Astyanax mexicanus: one gene and its partner. The protein of the gene in region 1 interacts with the protein of each later gene in a biochemical or structural test. Links are inferred from orthologs where the notes say so. Each region holds a gene or a part of one and is shown on either strand. Other genes may lie near its edges.

Evidence for each region.
Region 2: the proteins of nup155 (region 1) and gle1 form a complex in vitro, tested with the Homo sapiens proteins (2 studies listed by BioGRID). The link is inferred for Astyanax mexicanus from reciprocal best matches to the Homo sapiens genes NUP155 and GLE1.

Annotation. Positions count from the first base shown.
Region 1 is NC_064427.1:4,555,566-4,563,075, forward strand, and holds the start of nup155 (nuclear pore complex protein Nup155), read right to left. Parts: upstream 3,053-7,510; 5' UTR 2,992-3,052; exon of another isoform or gene 2,909-2,991; intron 1,915-2,908; 5' UTR 1,894-1,914; coding exon 1,752-1,893; intron 1,663-1,751; coding exon 1,525-1,662; intron 1,338-1,524; coding exon 1,241-1,337; intron 1,149-1,240; coding exon 1,078-1,148; intron 777-1,077; coding exon 684-776; intron 540-683; coding exon 276-539; intron 187-275; coding exon 113-186; intron 21-112; coding exon 1-20. Other genes in the region: nipblb (nipped-B-like protein B), read right to left, coding at 5,868-6,233, 6,640-6,816, 7,294-7,468.
Region 2 is NC_064419.1:290,494-297,669, reverse strand, and holds the start of gle1 (mRNA export factor GLE1), read right to left. Parts: upstream 3,073-7,176; 5' UTR 2,960-3,072; coding exon 2,861-2,959; intron 1,947-2,860; coding exon 1,698-1,946; intron 1,518-1,697; coding exon 1,359-1,517; intron 608-1,358; coding exon 459-607; intron 300-458; coding exon 239-299; intron 73-238; coding exon 1-72. Other genes in the region: c12h22orf39 (UPF0545 protein C22orf39 homolog), read left to right, coding at 3,268-3,378, 4,868-5,035, 5,165-5,296; mrpl40 (39S ribosomal protein L40, mitochondrial), read right to left, coding at 7,103-7,176. UniProt on the Homo sapiens protein: Required for the export of mRNAs containing poly(A) tails from the nucleus into the cytoplasm. May be involved in the terminal step of the mRNA transport through the nuclear pore complex (NPC).

The DNA.
Region 1 (7,510 bases):
TCAGCACCCAAGTCGTAAACCTATAAAGAGGCAGAACTGATGATTAGAAACACAATGACCAGAAGCAACTTAATAATATACATTTAAAAGAAAAGAAAATGAACACACTGACCTGCAGCACACCCTTCTCAGACCTTGTGTACAGAGTGTTGCGGGAATTGTCAATAGCAATCTGAACAACCGGATCTGTGACAAAGACAAAACAAAGAAAAATTATAAACAGGCATTACAAACACCTTTACAAAGTTCATGTCTATGTGCAGCAATGTTCTTACCATCTTCAGAAAAGGAGAACTGCAGCAGAGATGGTATAAGGAAAGACAGGCTGCTCTTGGAGTGGTTGATTTTCCTGCAGCGCTGGCTGAACCAGCCAGCTTCAGCCTGGTAAGCAATCTCATACAGGCAGCCATCCTTCCCAGCCAGAAAGATGCGTCCGAGATCGGTGGAGGTGATCGCCAGCATGTAGGTGTTATCCGTGGGGATGGAGTAGAGCGGGTCGGGCAGGAGCTGCATGGCTCCAGACATACTATCATTTAACCCTGAGAAAGAGACATTCAGAACATTTGTCCTTTTAAAACCAGGTGCTTTTAGCTTGACTGCTCTCATAGGTTTAGGGTTTATGTGACTTGGTGTGATTGGTAGTAGGACATATTAATTATTAGAAAAGTACAAGAAAGACTCACCTGTGTGAGCTTTAGGAAAGCTCAAACCCAGGATCACAACATCCACTGGTGTGGCCAACACTAACAAGAAGTGAATGTGAGGCTGGAAAATTCCTGTGTGAGGAAAAAATGGGTATCAGTATATAAATGAGAAATATTTAGACAATCTACAAAAAAATTAAACACAGAAATAGCTGTTCCTATTTAATTTAAAATTGTATTAAATAAAATTAAATAATTTGGGATGACATGTTATCACGTTCCCTTAAAATTTGATATATGAAATCATTTCTGCACAACAATGCTAGTCAAGAAAGTAGTGAGAAAACAGTCAGACATCTTAACATAATTTGTCTTTTATTAATAGTTTCATTATTTAAAGCCTTCTTTGATCACTTGTGTGTCATCCACTCACCTTCCTTTGGCTTTACTAGTCCAACTGAAAGGATAGTTTCACTCAACCCATCAAAATATGCCACATCTCCTCTAAACAAAACAAGAAAATAAATCAGAAATTAAAGCTGGCACTAAGCAGGTCTATAAACATGATACATTTTTACTCCAATTGCAATACTCACCCATCCTCATAATTCCACATGAATAGGTCATTATCAATAGTCAGCCATGCTCTGCTGATCTCAGGGAAAACTCCCATCATGCAATTGCACTGCATGTCTGAAGTTTCAGGATTAAGGTATGTCAACACTGCTAGATATAATTATTTCACAATTACTTAAACATCCCTCAACCAATCAGATATTAGAATTATTATAGCAACATGCTATGAACACATTTAAATACGTTCTCTCATATTAGGTCCACCATACTTAATTTCAAATGCAGATTTTAACTGAGAGGATACGGCTAAACTGTTCCACAAGCTCTGGAGGCAGAGGGACTCTACGCACAGCACTCAGCTCTGGCAGGTTGGGCACACTGATGAGTCCTGGTCCTTGTAGTGGGTAATCCATGTCTGATACCCCAGACAGAGAGGGCATATCTGATAGAGAGATATAAACAAAATGTGGTCAGAGTCAGTTATACTGTGTACATAATACATGTGTCACTGACAGCCAAGTGTGTTCTTACTGTGTGAGGGGACATTGAGCAGCTCTGACAGGTCTGGAAAGCAGCGGTCTTCCTGCAGATGTCGATCAATGAGCCTGCCAGAGTTTTCTAGAGCTTCTTGCTGAGCCGCTGCCATGCTGCTGGGGCCCAGGCTCGACGGCATAGCTGCAGTTCTGAAATAAGCCTACGAAAAAGCATTTTTCATGATCACCAACACACCTATTAGCTTAACGTGGTCTCATAAGAGACTAAAATACACGTTATGAAATATTTTTTGTGAAACATCAGAATTTTAGCTCTAAAGTATTTGCATGCATATGCACACAATAAGAGAAAAAACAAGAATGGGCTGCTCACTGAATTTATCAGTAAGTTTTAAATTTGGTATTAATATCAAGAATTTGTTCAGTGTAACATAATGTGAAATATTTTCCATAACCCCTGGGCAACTAAGAGGCAATGTGCAATTATTTGTAAATACAATCAATCATATATTGCAAAATATTGAATATGGTGTATTGTATTGTATATATAAATATTATTATATATATTGTACTGTATATTTTATCTTTTTTTTTTTACTAAGTGTCTAGCTATGCTTCTGTGACAATGAATTTCCACACAGTAATAAAGTATCATCTAATCTTATCTTAATATTCAGAAGAGGATCTGAGCTAATAATAACAACAATAATACTACACTAGCTAACTAGTTCGTTAACATGGATACGTTAGCTATAACTTAACAACTAGTGATATTAGGTGTGCTAACTAGGTTCGCTAGTTTAGAGTAAAATAAATATCAGTCACATTAGACAGTATACAAGTTAACGTAGCTTACTAAGACAGTAGTTAACTAGCTAGCACGTAGGAACACATTTTGCATTTATTCTGCAGTATCTCTGCTTATAGGTTAATTTTGATATATATTAAGAGAGATTTTATTACATATTTCCTATCCTCATTTTAGTAAGTTTGTTAAGCTAACTATGTTGGCTAGCTTAGCTTTAGCCAGACCTCTTTCCATCTAAGTTAGCTGTTACTGTTTGTTAGGCTGATTTAGCTACAGAAGTCAATAGCCGGTTAGCTTAGCCTGGTTAGCATAGTACTTAGCTTAATGCTAAACAGCCATAAATACACTTAGCTACGCAAAATAAAAACCGGGTTTATTCCTGTTACCGTACGGTTTATCAGCCCGCGCGCTCCGCCTCTCTCGCGCTGTAACGGTTTTTACAAAGAACGCGCTTTTTAAATCCACTCGCCTCCTCGAGACTCACACTCTCCCGCCAAGCTCGTGCGCTCCTCAGCGCCCTGATCACTGGGAATTGTATTTCCGGCTCAAACATTTACCACACATTCGCTCTTCATAATAAAAGTAGCTCGAACTTTTTCTTCAGTTTGGGCTCTTTTATGATGAAAATTAGAGATATGCAGACACAAAATGTAATAAAAAGGAATTGTGTATTTATATCTTAATTTTTTTTTATATTTTAATGTCTCAAATATTTTTTAAATAGCCCTTTTATTTAAATATGTATATGCATATGCAATAAAAATGTTTTTTTAAAACATATTTTTATTTGCTTAATATATATTTACAAAACAAATTAAAAATAGGTTCTAAAAACAAAAAATGCACAAGCATATACATATTTATATGAAGGGGCTCTCAAATATTTATAAACTATATGAGATATTTAAATATTAAAATACAATATATTTATTTTCATTTTGTTTTTTTTTATTATTATTTTTTGCATATATGGATGGATGGATGGATGCTCTTATCTGGGGAGATGTTAACTTGTGGTTTCTGAGGCTGGTTATTTTGATTAACTTATCCTGTGCAGTTAATCACTACAGAAACCCAAACTTCATGTGGCCTTCAGGTTAGTTCAAGAACAGTAGACTGTAGAGAGCTTTGTGGAATAGGTTTCCATGAACAAGCAGCTCCAAGCCTCACATCACCAAATGCAAGACAAGTGAGTGAATACTTTTGGCAATAAAGTGTGTATATATCAGTTCCACACAATTTTTTTTAGTCCCATTTTCCATTTATATTTTATCCTCAGTTAACTCACATTTCATTAACACTGGCACAAAATGAACACATCTTCTCGTCAGGCCCAAGATTACATTGCATGTCCAAACCATGACATTTGCTTAAACAGGTCTGTGACCAGAAGCTTTGATCACAGTGTTTAGTTATTGAAAGTATATCACACTCTGAGAACTGCATCAGAACTTGTTTCTGTAGCCTACAGTGAATATTCATGGTCTGCTGTCCAGTGCTCAAACTCTCCAGTAACTTTCATATTTGGATTACAACTTTAATACAAATGTGGCCTACAAAATATCTGTAAATAGCTACTGCTTTTATTTTTGTCATTATACTTATACACCTGTACAGTGTTACACAGTGTCCACATATCCCAAAAAAAGCTGGGGTCAGACCTCAGGGTCAACCATGCTACAATACCAGTGGAGAAGATGGGGATAGTGGCAACACAACCCTCTAACTGCAGAACCACTACTTATTGTAGTGCAGCACAGTCACTCAGACCTGATGTTGAACCCAGTATCCCACATAGTTTGATAGGTCACTTGCAGACAGTGGTGTTATCCATTGTGCCACAACACCCACCAGTGCCATTTAGTATTCATTTTGATTTTAGCTATTAAAAAAATCACCAGAATCATTTTAATTAAATAATTTACACAGTAAAGGTTTTTCCCATAAACTGAGCAGCATCCTACACAGGGTCTTATTCTGAGATATTCAAATTATAAACCATTAGAGCACACTGCCACATCCTTGTTTCCTGCAACCTGCAAATGACCATATTTGTAGCTCTGATATTGGATCTTTTCTCGTTGCTACGTTCACAGTAAATAAGAGAGTGATTTTTGGATCTCCTTGTGAGCAGTCACCTTCCATCCTGTTAAGAAAGTGAAAGTTTCATGAATATATTCCTTAACTCCTCCATACATCAATGTAGGACAGGAAGAAGAATAACACTGTACACATTAAGCCCTTCAGTAGTAACTGTAATTATATGAAAGTGAAGACCAGCAGTCCATCCTGGTGGTGGTAGACACAAGAAGATCGTTATGTAGCTCATCAGAAAGTGAGAACTTTACTCTGTATACAGTGAGAACTTTTCTGTAAAATTAAAAGTGGGGTTATAGGGATTTGATTACGGCAAACTTCTCTCCTATCATTAGAAAAAAAACAATACAATTGAATCACTAAACACTAATAAAGCAGCTTCACTTTTCAGAAAAAGGGAGACTCAGATCGTCTTACAACTGCTAGTGCTAAAAAAAATAATAATGATAATAAAAGTCAAATGCAAACAAGACAAGTAACAAAGAGAAGTAAAAAAATTTATTGCAGTATTTGTTCCGCCAGAAGTGCTGGGGATCCCTTTTTTCTCTCTAGGGTGACCTAATACATCAAAATCTACATTTACAAAAAAATCTCCCCCTGCATGTAGGCCACAGATACTGCATGCTCTGCTTTTAACAGAATAAATTATGTCCAGGAGACTCCATTGTACAGCATGAGTAAACAAAAAAAAAGGAGTAAAACATAAAGCAGAGGAAATATTTAAAAGTTTTTTTCCCTGGACACTGAGCTAAGCTAAAGAAATCCATCCGGTGCTAGGTTTAACTCCAAGAACACTTTATTAAGAACATCAACAGACTAATTTCCAACATTCACTTTAAGTTTATTTTTTTAAACAGATTTTTTCGTCAGATATAAACATTTTTGTTTTCGTTTGTTGTTTTTTATGTTAAACTATGATACAGTGGGAGTAAAAATCACACGACCAAGTTGCTGCACAACAGCGAAGGAGCTCCCACACAATGTTTTCCAAACATTTCCTTCTGAATGTTTCTGTCCTGTTTAACTTAACTTTAACGGGTCCGGTATCTTCTGCTGCAGGTCCTCGTGTTAAAATGCTATCCCCGCCCCTCCTCCCTCTCTCATACTGTTTCCATCTTCGTGACAGTGGATCTCAAGGTTTCTGTGAGTCTGTAGTATTCTTGCCTTACTGTCTGGGTTTAGAAAATGTTGGATCCCAATAAAGTTTGGCTGCTGAGAGTTCATGTAGGAGTAACTGTAGTTAATTAATTAGCTGGAAGTCCCCTCCTTGGCTGCGTACAGTGATCGTAAAGTCTGCACCATTTTGTTAGTCAGCTTGTGAGCACTCGTCAAGGCGATTTTCTTGTAAATGATGTCCGACTCCTTGATAGTGTCCACCCAAGGCACCAGTTTGCGTCCGTCTCGTTTCTTGGCCTCTGCCCAAGTGCCGGAGTAGGAGCCGGCCATCCAGTGCACGCTGTAACCGTTGCTCGTCTTCTGGATGACGCGCGCTATCTGCGGCCGGTCCTTGTACTTGGGGCAGCAGATAGCGATGACGTCCATGGCTTCTACCGTCTCGTTCAAATGACCTGATGCGTCTGCAGAGTCGCCGCCTCTCCTGGATCGCCGTGATGCCTGGAGAAGGAAATGAAGGAAAAAAATAATTATAAAAACATACATAAAAGATTTTACTGGATAAAGTTATTCAAAGCGGAAAAAGCACTTATTTCTAAAGCAAATAAGAGTAAAAAAAATTATAGTATCAAATTAATCAAATAATACTTTTTTGTAGAGCACATTTCCTAACCTGCGTCAATGCAAAGCAGATTAACACAAATCTGGTAATAAGAAAAACATCAACAGCCAAAGGGCCACAGTGGCAAGAAAAAAAAGAAAGAAATAAAAATCTCCCGTCCTCCTCTAAACAGTTACTAATTATAAAAGGTATGGCTTGAAAAAAATGAAAAAAAAAAAAAATCACTGGGGCACTGATTTAATCATAATAGTTATCATAAGAATAATAAAAGCAGTATCAACTTACTCCAGGTGCTTTCTCTTCTCCGTCGCTTTCTTCATCGTAAGAGTCAGCAGCGTTGTTCTTCGGGCTGGAGCCTCCCAGAAGAGCAGTGATGGCTTTGTTTCTGGCGTGGGTGCTGGCTGACGCCTCGCCTTCCTCATCCTCCTCATCAGGGTCCAAGTGCTCCATCAGTACCTTAAACTGTAAAGAAAAAAAATACATGACATGAGTCACGTGAATCAACAGATCAATTTAATATTTAATATCATTCAGAGGAGAACATGGCAAATATTTACTGAAGTCAATCCAAAAGTTAAACATCTGTAGAAAACTTCTGATTAGTTTGACATGACTGGCTCAAATGTGGACAACGTTGCATAGATATATTCATTGGTCTCATCCAAAATGTGTACCTTTACAGTGTAGCTGGCTTTGGGAGGTGAGACATGTTGAGTTCAGCAAAATAAAAGCTAAGATCAAAAAAGGCAGTTGGGGAAATAAAATTTAAAAAAATCTGTATATCTGAATACAAACCTGTACTAACTTTACATTCATCAAAACTAACATTTTGATAAATGGTGACAGCGGAGAATTCATAAATCTCTCAACTACACCTGGTGTGTGGTAGAGTTTGGTGTGTGGTAGAGGGGTGGGGAGGAACTTTTAGGATATACTTACGTCCAAGTATTGCTTGACAATCTTCCTCTTGATGTCGTCTGTGAGCTCGGCATTTGAAAGGCCGTTGGCCAGGAACTCTAGCGTCTGCCGTGGGTTGAAATGCACGTTGTTTTTCCTGTTTACTGCCTTGTCATACACCTTCGCTGACTCCGTTGGAGAATACTTCTGGATTTTGCTGTTAAGAAAGAATGAGTTGCAAAGACAAAGACAAATAATT
Region 2 (7,176 bases), on another chromosome or scaffold:
CAGTCTCTGCTTCTCCAGCTCCGCCTCTCGCAGCCGCTGCTGCTCCGCCTCCCTCAGACGCAGGTTCAGGATCTGATCGAGCAAATACAGGTTAATATTAGGGGTGCAAAAATTAATTCATGCATCAAGATGCAAGAATCTTAAAGCTGCAATCTTGGGGCGATTTCACATAAGTCTGAATCAGAGTCCGCACTAAAGTTTGTGTGTTTGTTACAGGTGTGTGTTTTTTGATTCCTACCTTCATTCTATGTCTGTGCTCCTCCTTCAGTTTCTCTTGTCGGCCGAGGGTTTCCTGCGTGCTTTTAGAAGACAGATAACACAACATATTTATTAGTTGTGGGATAAAAGCAAAATATTTTTTGCATCAACATTTTAAGGCTAAACACTTAGATGAGTACAGAAAACATGACTAAACCTCAGTTCATCACAGCATCACACACTGTGCTTCTAGTACTCACTCTTTTTCCACCATGTCCCTCACGCTCTGATACTCCTGCCTCTGTTTGAGCTCCATAAACTCCTCAAAGCGTTTCAGCTGCTCAGACTCACGGCTGGCCACAGTAGCTACCAGCCTCTCCTGCAGCTCCTGCCTCAGACTCAACTCCGCCTGTCAGCCACAATCAGTTCACCACAGTTCATCGTTATTATGGAACAGACATGCAACCACAGTACATGTCAATTTTGTGAATATATTATGAAATATGACATAAATAAGGTGTTAATGACAGTATTCTTTAGTGTAGTGCATTAGTAATTATATATGTTTTTGTTCTTCTTTCCAGCACAAGTCAGTATAATTTTTTTAACATTTTTGCTGCTTAATACAAAGAAAAATTTTACATGACAAAAGCTACAAGATTTTATTATTATATCAAATACCTAATACCATTAATTGTATTAATTGTACAATCAATCATTGATGCATATATTGCATTATTAATATTATGATAAGTTGGATCACTGACTTCTGGTCTTTTTTAATAACGCAATATATATCACAGAACAACAATATTCTACAATTGTTGTTAATCACTATAATATTGATGACATGTTATGTAGGACAAATTTCTTTGGCAAGGAGAAATTTCTGTCAGGTAGCAGCTTACACTTAGTTTTGAGCTTTTTATTCAGTATCTTCTCTTCTGCAGGTCAAACGTACGCACATATATGTTCATATAAGTTATTGACTAGATTAATTAAGCATTAATATTTAGGGTCCAGGAAAACTCGAGCCTCATACATTGTACATTTATGTCTAGTATAATGTAATGTGTATAGACTTTTTATTTTGTATTTTTTGTGTTTTTGTACACTATATGTATTTTTATACTATATGTAATTTTGAATGTACACTTTACCTTGGCTTTAGATCGATGTTTTTCCTCACAGATACGAATACACCCTGCCATCTGAGAGGCTCTGGGAGAAAGGAGGGAGATTGCTGGTGGTGGAGTGCTGCAGGGAACAGGGCTGAGGTCCACTGTGGAGTGTGAATTTTCCAGTTTATCCTCATTTACCTAGAGCACAATAAAACAACAGCATAAGATAAAAAAGCACAAGAATGAAGTACAATTCCATTACAGAAAAAAGCTGAGAAAGTACGGAATAATGCAAAAAATAATAATGCAAATAAAGTACACTGTTCCGCTATGTATTATAGTGTCATGTCATCAAAAAAATAAAAATAAACATTATACCTTCTCTTCACTTTCAATAGAGGCCAGCGGAGGCGAGGTGGCAGGTGATAACGGAGAGGTGAGGGTGTGGTGTGGACTGATGGGAGCTGAACTGCACAAAGGAACATCTTCAGAGGTGGAAAGACTCGTATCACGGATGGGAGAACCCAGTGAACAGTTTTTGAGCAGAGGTCGAGGGCTCAGTCTCTTCAGAATAGCACCTGATAGAGGCGAGAGGCTGGTAACCTCTTTACAGCCTGCGAGAATATCCTGAAGATGAGAGATGAAGAGAAACATACATAAATGATCAAGGAAATGGACGTAACAAGCAGCGAATTTACCTATTTTAGGATATGACCACTAGTTTTTTGGTTTTTGGAATGAAACTACATCTGTTTTTACTTTTCTCCAGTGAAGCCTTTGCAAACTATCATCCCCAAACAATGACTTAGTATCTCAAAATAATGAGATAGCATCTCAAAATAACAATAGATCATAAGATAGTATCCAAAAATAAAGACTTAGTATCTCAAAATAACAACCTGATATCTTTAAATAATGGGGTAGCATCAAACTAATGAGATATAATCTACACATAATGCCTTACTATCTCAAAATAATGAGACAGTCCCTCCAAATAACAACTTAATATTTTACAATAATGACTTTAAATCTTAGAATCAACTGAGAATATGGTGTGGAATATGTATCTCAGAATAAAGACTTCTCTAAACAATGAGATCTCAAAGATCTCTCCAAGTAACGACTTAGTATTTTTAAAATGAGATAATATCCCAAAATTAGACTTAGTATCTCAAAATAATGACTTTATATCTGAGAATCAACATAGAAAAAAAAGTATTAGTAAAAAAATTATTTAGTATCTCAAAATAATAATAGTCCCTCCAAATAATGATAATTACTATTTCAAAATAATGAAACAGCATCTCACAAAAATGACTTAGTATCTCAAAGCAATGAGATAGCAATTCACTTTTTGATTTTATATTGTTGATGGCGGGATGTTACTATTATAGCTGTGGTTATTCTTCACTCCAGATTAAAGTCTGTGAGATAAATTAGCAGAATTTTCGGCCAACAGACTAATCTAACTATCCCAGCTATCGAAAACTCAGATTAATACAGATTAATCAGTAAGATTAGATTAATTTAGCGGCTCTTACCTCCCCTTTCTCCAGCCAGTCTGGGCTGTATTTGAGTTTACCCTTCGAAGAGTTTTTTAAAGCCTCCAGCGTGTCCCACCTTAAACTATCTGCTGCCATTTCGGTAAAACTTTAAACATAAAGCTTAGCTTAGCCTAGTTTAGTTTAGCTAATATTCTACCAAGCGGCAGATTTGGACTGTGGGACTTTTAGAAACACAACACGCTAATTTCCGCTTCCTGTGAGCGATAAATTAAAAGTCCCACGACTACTACTAACTACGTGACAAACCTGATATATATAAATATGTTGTAATTCGCTGTCTATTAATCAGTGAGATCCTTTTGATAGCTATAGTGAGTTATTAGCTAAATTAAACACTTTTATTGTGCTCGGTTATTAAAAGAGTAGTGGTGATAATAGTGATAATGGTGAAAGGCGCGGGAAGTAGTTGGTTAGTGGAGGACAGCAGGGAGCGCTGTGCTGCAGCCGGAGTGCAGGGAGTGTGGAGTATGGCAGGGTCAAGAGAATCGTGGAGGGTAAATATGTGCCTGTTTTACTTTTAGTGTTAATATAGAGAACAGGTTGTATAAATATGTCTGTGATGTTGTTTGTGATGTGTTTATATCTTGTTTCGACGTGTGTTTCCTTATCGTTAGCTCTGAAGCTGATTTAGAGACTAGGCAGATCAGTAATCTTCCAGTGCTGAAGCAGATTTTATCATTTAACCTGCTTATTTAAAGAGGTACTAATCCATAAACCATGTTTATTTTCCATTAATAGCTGAAATAAATCCCTTTGAAGTGATTAAACATACCAGTCCTGCTTAAAATTATTATAACATTTCCTAACCTTCATTAGGTCATTTATTTATTGAGGCAAATTAAATACTTTAATATTTTTTAGTCGTTCTTTGTTAGAACAACTTGTGTTGCTTAGGGTCGTTGTCTTGTTACATGACCCACCTTTTCTTGAGACTGAGTTTGTAGACAGTCCTGACATTTCCCCCTAGAATTTTCTGATGTAATTCAGTGCTCCCTGTTCCATCAATGCTATCATCAATTCTTACAATAGATTTTTCTTGTTTTGTCTATGTGATCTTAACAATGTTCTTTTTGGAGAGCAGTGAATTTCTTTTAAGAAACCTGCCATGCACACCATTGTTGTTCAGTGTTCTCCTGATGGAAAACTGATAAACATTAACATTAGCCATTGTGAGAGAGGCCTTCAGTTGCTTAGAAGATACCCTGAGGTCCATTTTTGTGACCTGGCCGACTGTTACATGCCCTGCTCTCAGAGTGATCTTTGTTGGGCGACTACTCCAGTGTACCAGAACAACACACCCAAACCCACCATCACCATGTCAGCATCACTTCATGATCCACCACACAAATAATACTTGCCCTGTGGTGGTCCTGTGGGGTCTTTATCATTGAACAGAGTTAAAGGAGGATAATGAAGTATGCAGAGAAACCGATACAGGAAAGCTGTGTAATGATAGAACTGGCAGTGCTAAGTGCTAATATATGCTCATTGAACCTGAAAAAATAGACAATGGGTATAGAAAAAAGTAGGTGGTAATAATGTTATGTTAGATCATCATATGTCAGATTTATCAGATGTCATATTTTATAAGTAATCTATGCAGAAATCCAGATAACTTTTTTCCTTTTTTAACTTCCTTTGTTTGTTGTAAAAATAACAATTTTTTGCATGGCTTCTGCATGAGCACTGCTTTTCTTTATAAATACCTTTTTTTTATTTAAAATATTTATTTAGCACTTAAACATTTTTATATCCCATCATACAAACCAACACAGCACAATGCATGTACATCATTAGTGTTATTCTAATCATGAATTTACTTTAGGAGTGCTATTGTAATCATAAAATGTACCTTAGCAGTGCTGTTCTGATCATGCATTAAGTGCAGTATTGCTATTTTAATCATGCATTTACTTCAGCAGTAAATTTAAATTAAATCATGCTCTTTATAACTATTTTAATGTTTCTTGTGCCTGATCTCAGCCACCACGATTGTGTGATACCTACTGGAGTGAATTCAGGCACTGTAAGAGTTTACGGCACCGGTTCCATCACTACTACACCTATGGAACAACACCGATGTGCCAGCAGTGGAAAGAGGACTATGAGGCGTGCAGGGAGTGGGAGAAGACACAGAGCGCACACGCCAAGGTCAGTCTCATGATTCCTGCAGTGCAAGGTGTGCATGAGACCATATCTGTGCACACTTTAGTGCATATACTGTGTATTTCTTCAGTGCTGTTTCTGTGCAGCTTATCCTCTCCTCTTCTGTTTGTTCAGGAGTGTCTCCAGAAAAGTGAGAGTAGTCGAGTGTCTGAGCAGAGGAACTTCACTCCAGTTTGGAAGATGAGAGATAAACCACCATCTGACTGGCACACGCCTCTAAATCAGGACAACCCAGAGGAGTCTTAAGAGCACAAATTAACTGTACTGTCTCTCTGTTTCTGTCACAAATAAAAAAAAAACGTCAAAACATCGAGAAGAACCGAGAACTTTTATAGCTTTAAATTGCCGATATACACACATCGTCCTCATCCATCACGTGTTCACCAGAATCATTTACAACAAAAAACAAAACAAATCTGTTTTTTTGTCTGTTCACACTGTGATTTTAATGCAACTCATATCAGACTTCTGTCTGAATGGTTTGTGATGTGTTGCTGATGCACATGTACAAAAAAAGCATTGCTTCAAATTTATTTTCACATTAATCTCAAGAGTTTTGAAGGGGATTAGGCTGCATCTGAGCTTATCACAGAGAATTTTATCCTGTTTTCTGTAAAAATGCCCTGTTATTCGGTTATTTCGGTTTTGTCAGTTTTTCTGATGTTACAGCTGCAATCTGTAGCCACATTCGGCCAGCCTGTTAGCACAAGCCTTCTAATTTTTATGGGAACAGAGTCATCAGTCTAAATATTTCAGATGTTTTTACTTCGTTCTTCCACTACTGAAGGGCTCATCTCACTGCTTTTTCCATTTTCCCATCTACTCACTCCCTTCTTTCCCTGTTTGTGACGTAAACGTTGCATTAATTACACTGCCACACAAACAGCACACCTGTGTCACATATGACGTAAAAGGTTGTATTTGGGCTTCATTTACCTGCTGTGTGTCTAAAACCTAAGATTTCCAGACCAATGCTTTTCCCTCACTGATAGACTGTGTCCAGTTTTGCCCCAGTTTTGTTCTGATTCTGATACCTATTCACATATTTAACAAAGCAAAAATCTGATTCATGCCCGATTCCCATCATCTGAATAGCCAAGTTCATGTAATTGTGTTGATCTGATCACTGACAAACTCTAAAGATCTAAATTTCCTTCAGGATCAATAAGGTATCTATATATCTCGGTAAGATCTGCAGTAATCAGATTATGAAGTGCATGTAAATAAATCTATCAGTTATATAATCTTGGACACACAGCATTTTGAATGGAGATTTTCCATTAAAGGGAAAATAATGTCTAGAATTATAGGCTATGTATATTAATTACAGACTCTTTTATGTATAAAAGTAAGTTTACTGTGTAAAGACTTGAAGTGCTGTGTTCTCTATGATCAGAAGTGTGTGCTCACTGACTGAATGTGTTGCAGTTGATTAAATAAACACTCATCAATGTCTGTTTAAATGTGTGTAAGTTTTATTTACAAAAATATGCACAGAATATTTCAGTTCAGTGTTGGGTTGTGTTTCAGTGCTAGTGGTGCAGTAGTACTTTCATCACAAATACAACAGTTTAACCATATCTGTGGTAGACAGACTGTAGGCACGTGTCTAAGAACACCACATATAACCAGCCAGTAGTTAGAGGAGAATGCAAAATGTACTTAAATACAACACATTTTATTAGCTAAAGGTTATTCTGGATCATTGTTATTGATATTTGTCTAAACACTTCACACACGTACAGAAGGGCTGGTATTTTCAACTGACTATAAAGAAGAAACCCCAATAAACAAGACTGTAATGATAGTGCCGGTAAATTTTTTATTTTGACTGAGCACAGACTGTATTTCATTCACATAAGAATCCAAGTTCACATAGTCTCTTCTCTACAGAAGGGAAGTAGATGAGTTCAGTACTTTCAGTACTAAAGTTCACGTCAAAATCGTCTTTGAACACAGATCCAACCATTTCAGAGCAGGAGATGCCCTGTGAGAACAGGGAACTGGAGGAACAGTTCTGTAACACGTTTCTGAATTCGTGATGTCAGCTGATCACTGAGTGTACACTCGTGTAATGTCACTGTATTTGCCGTCAGGAGCCTCGTAGTTTGTAAGAGGTGGAGTAA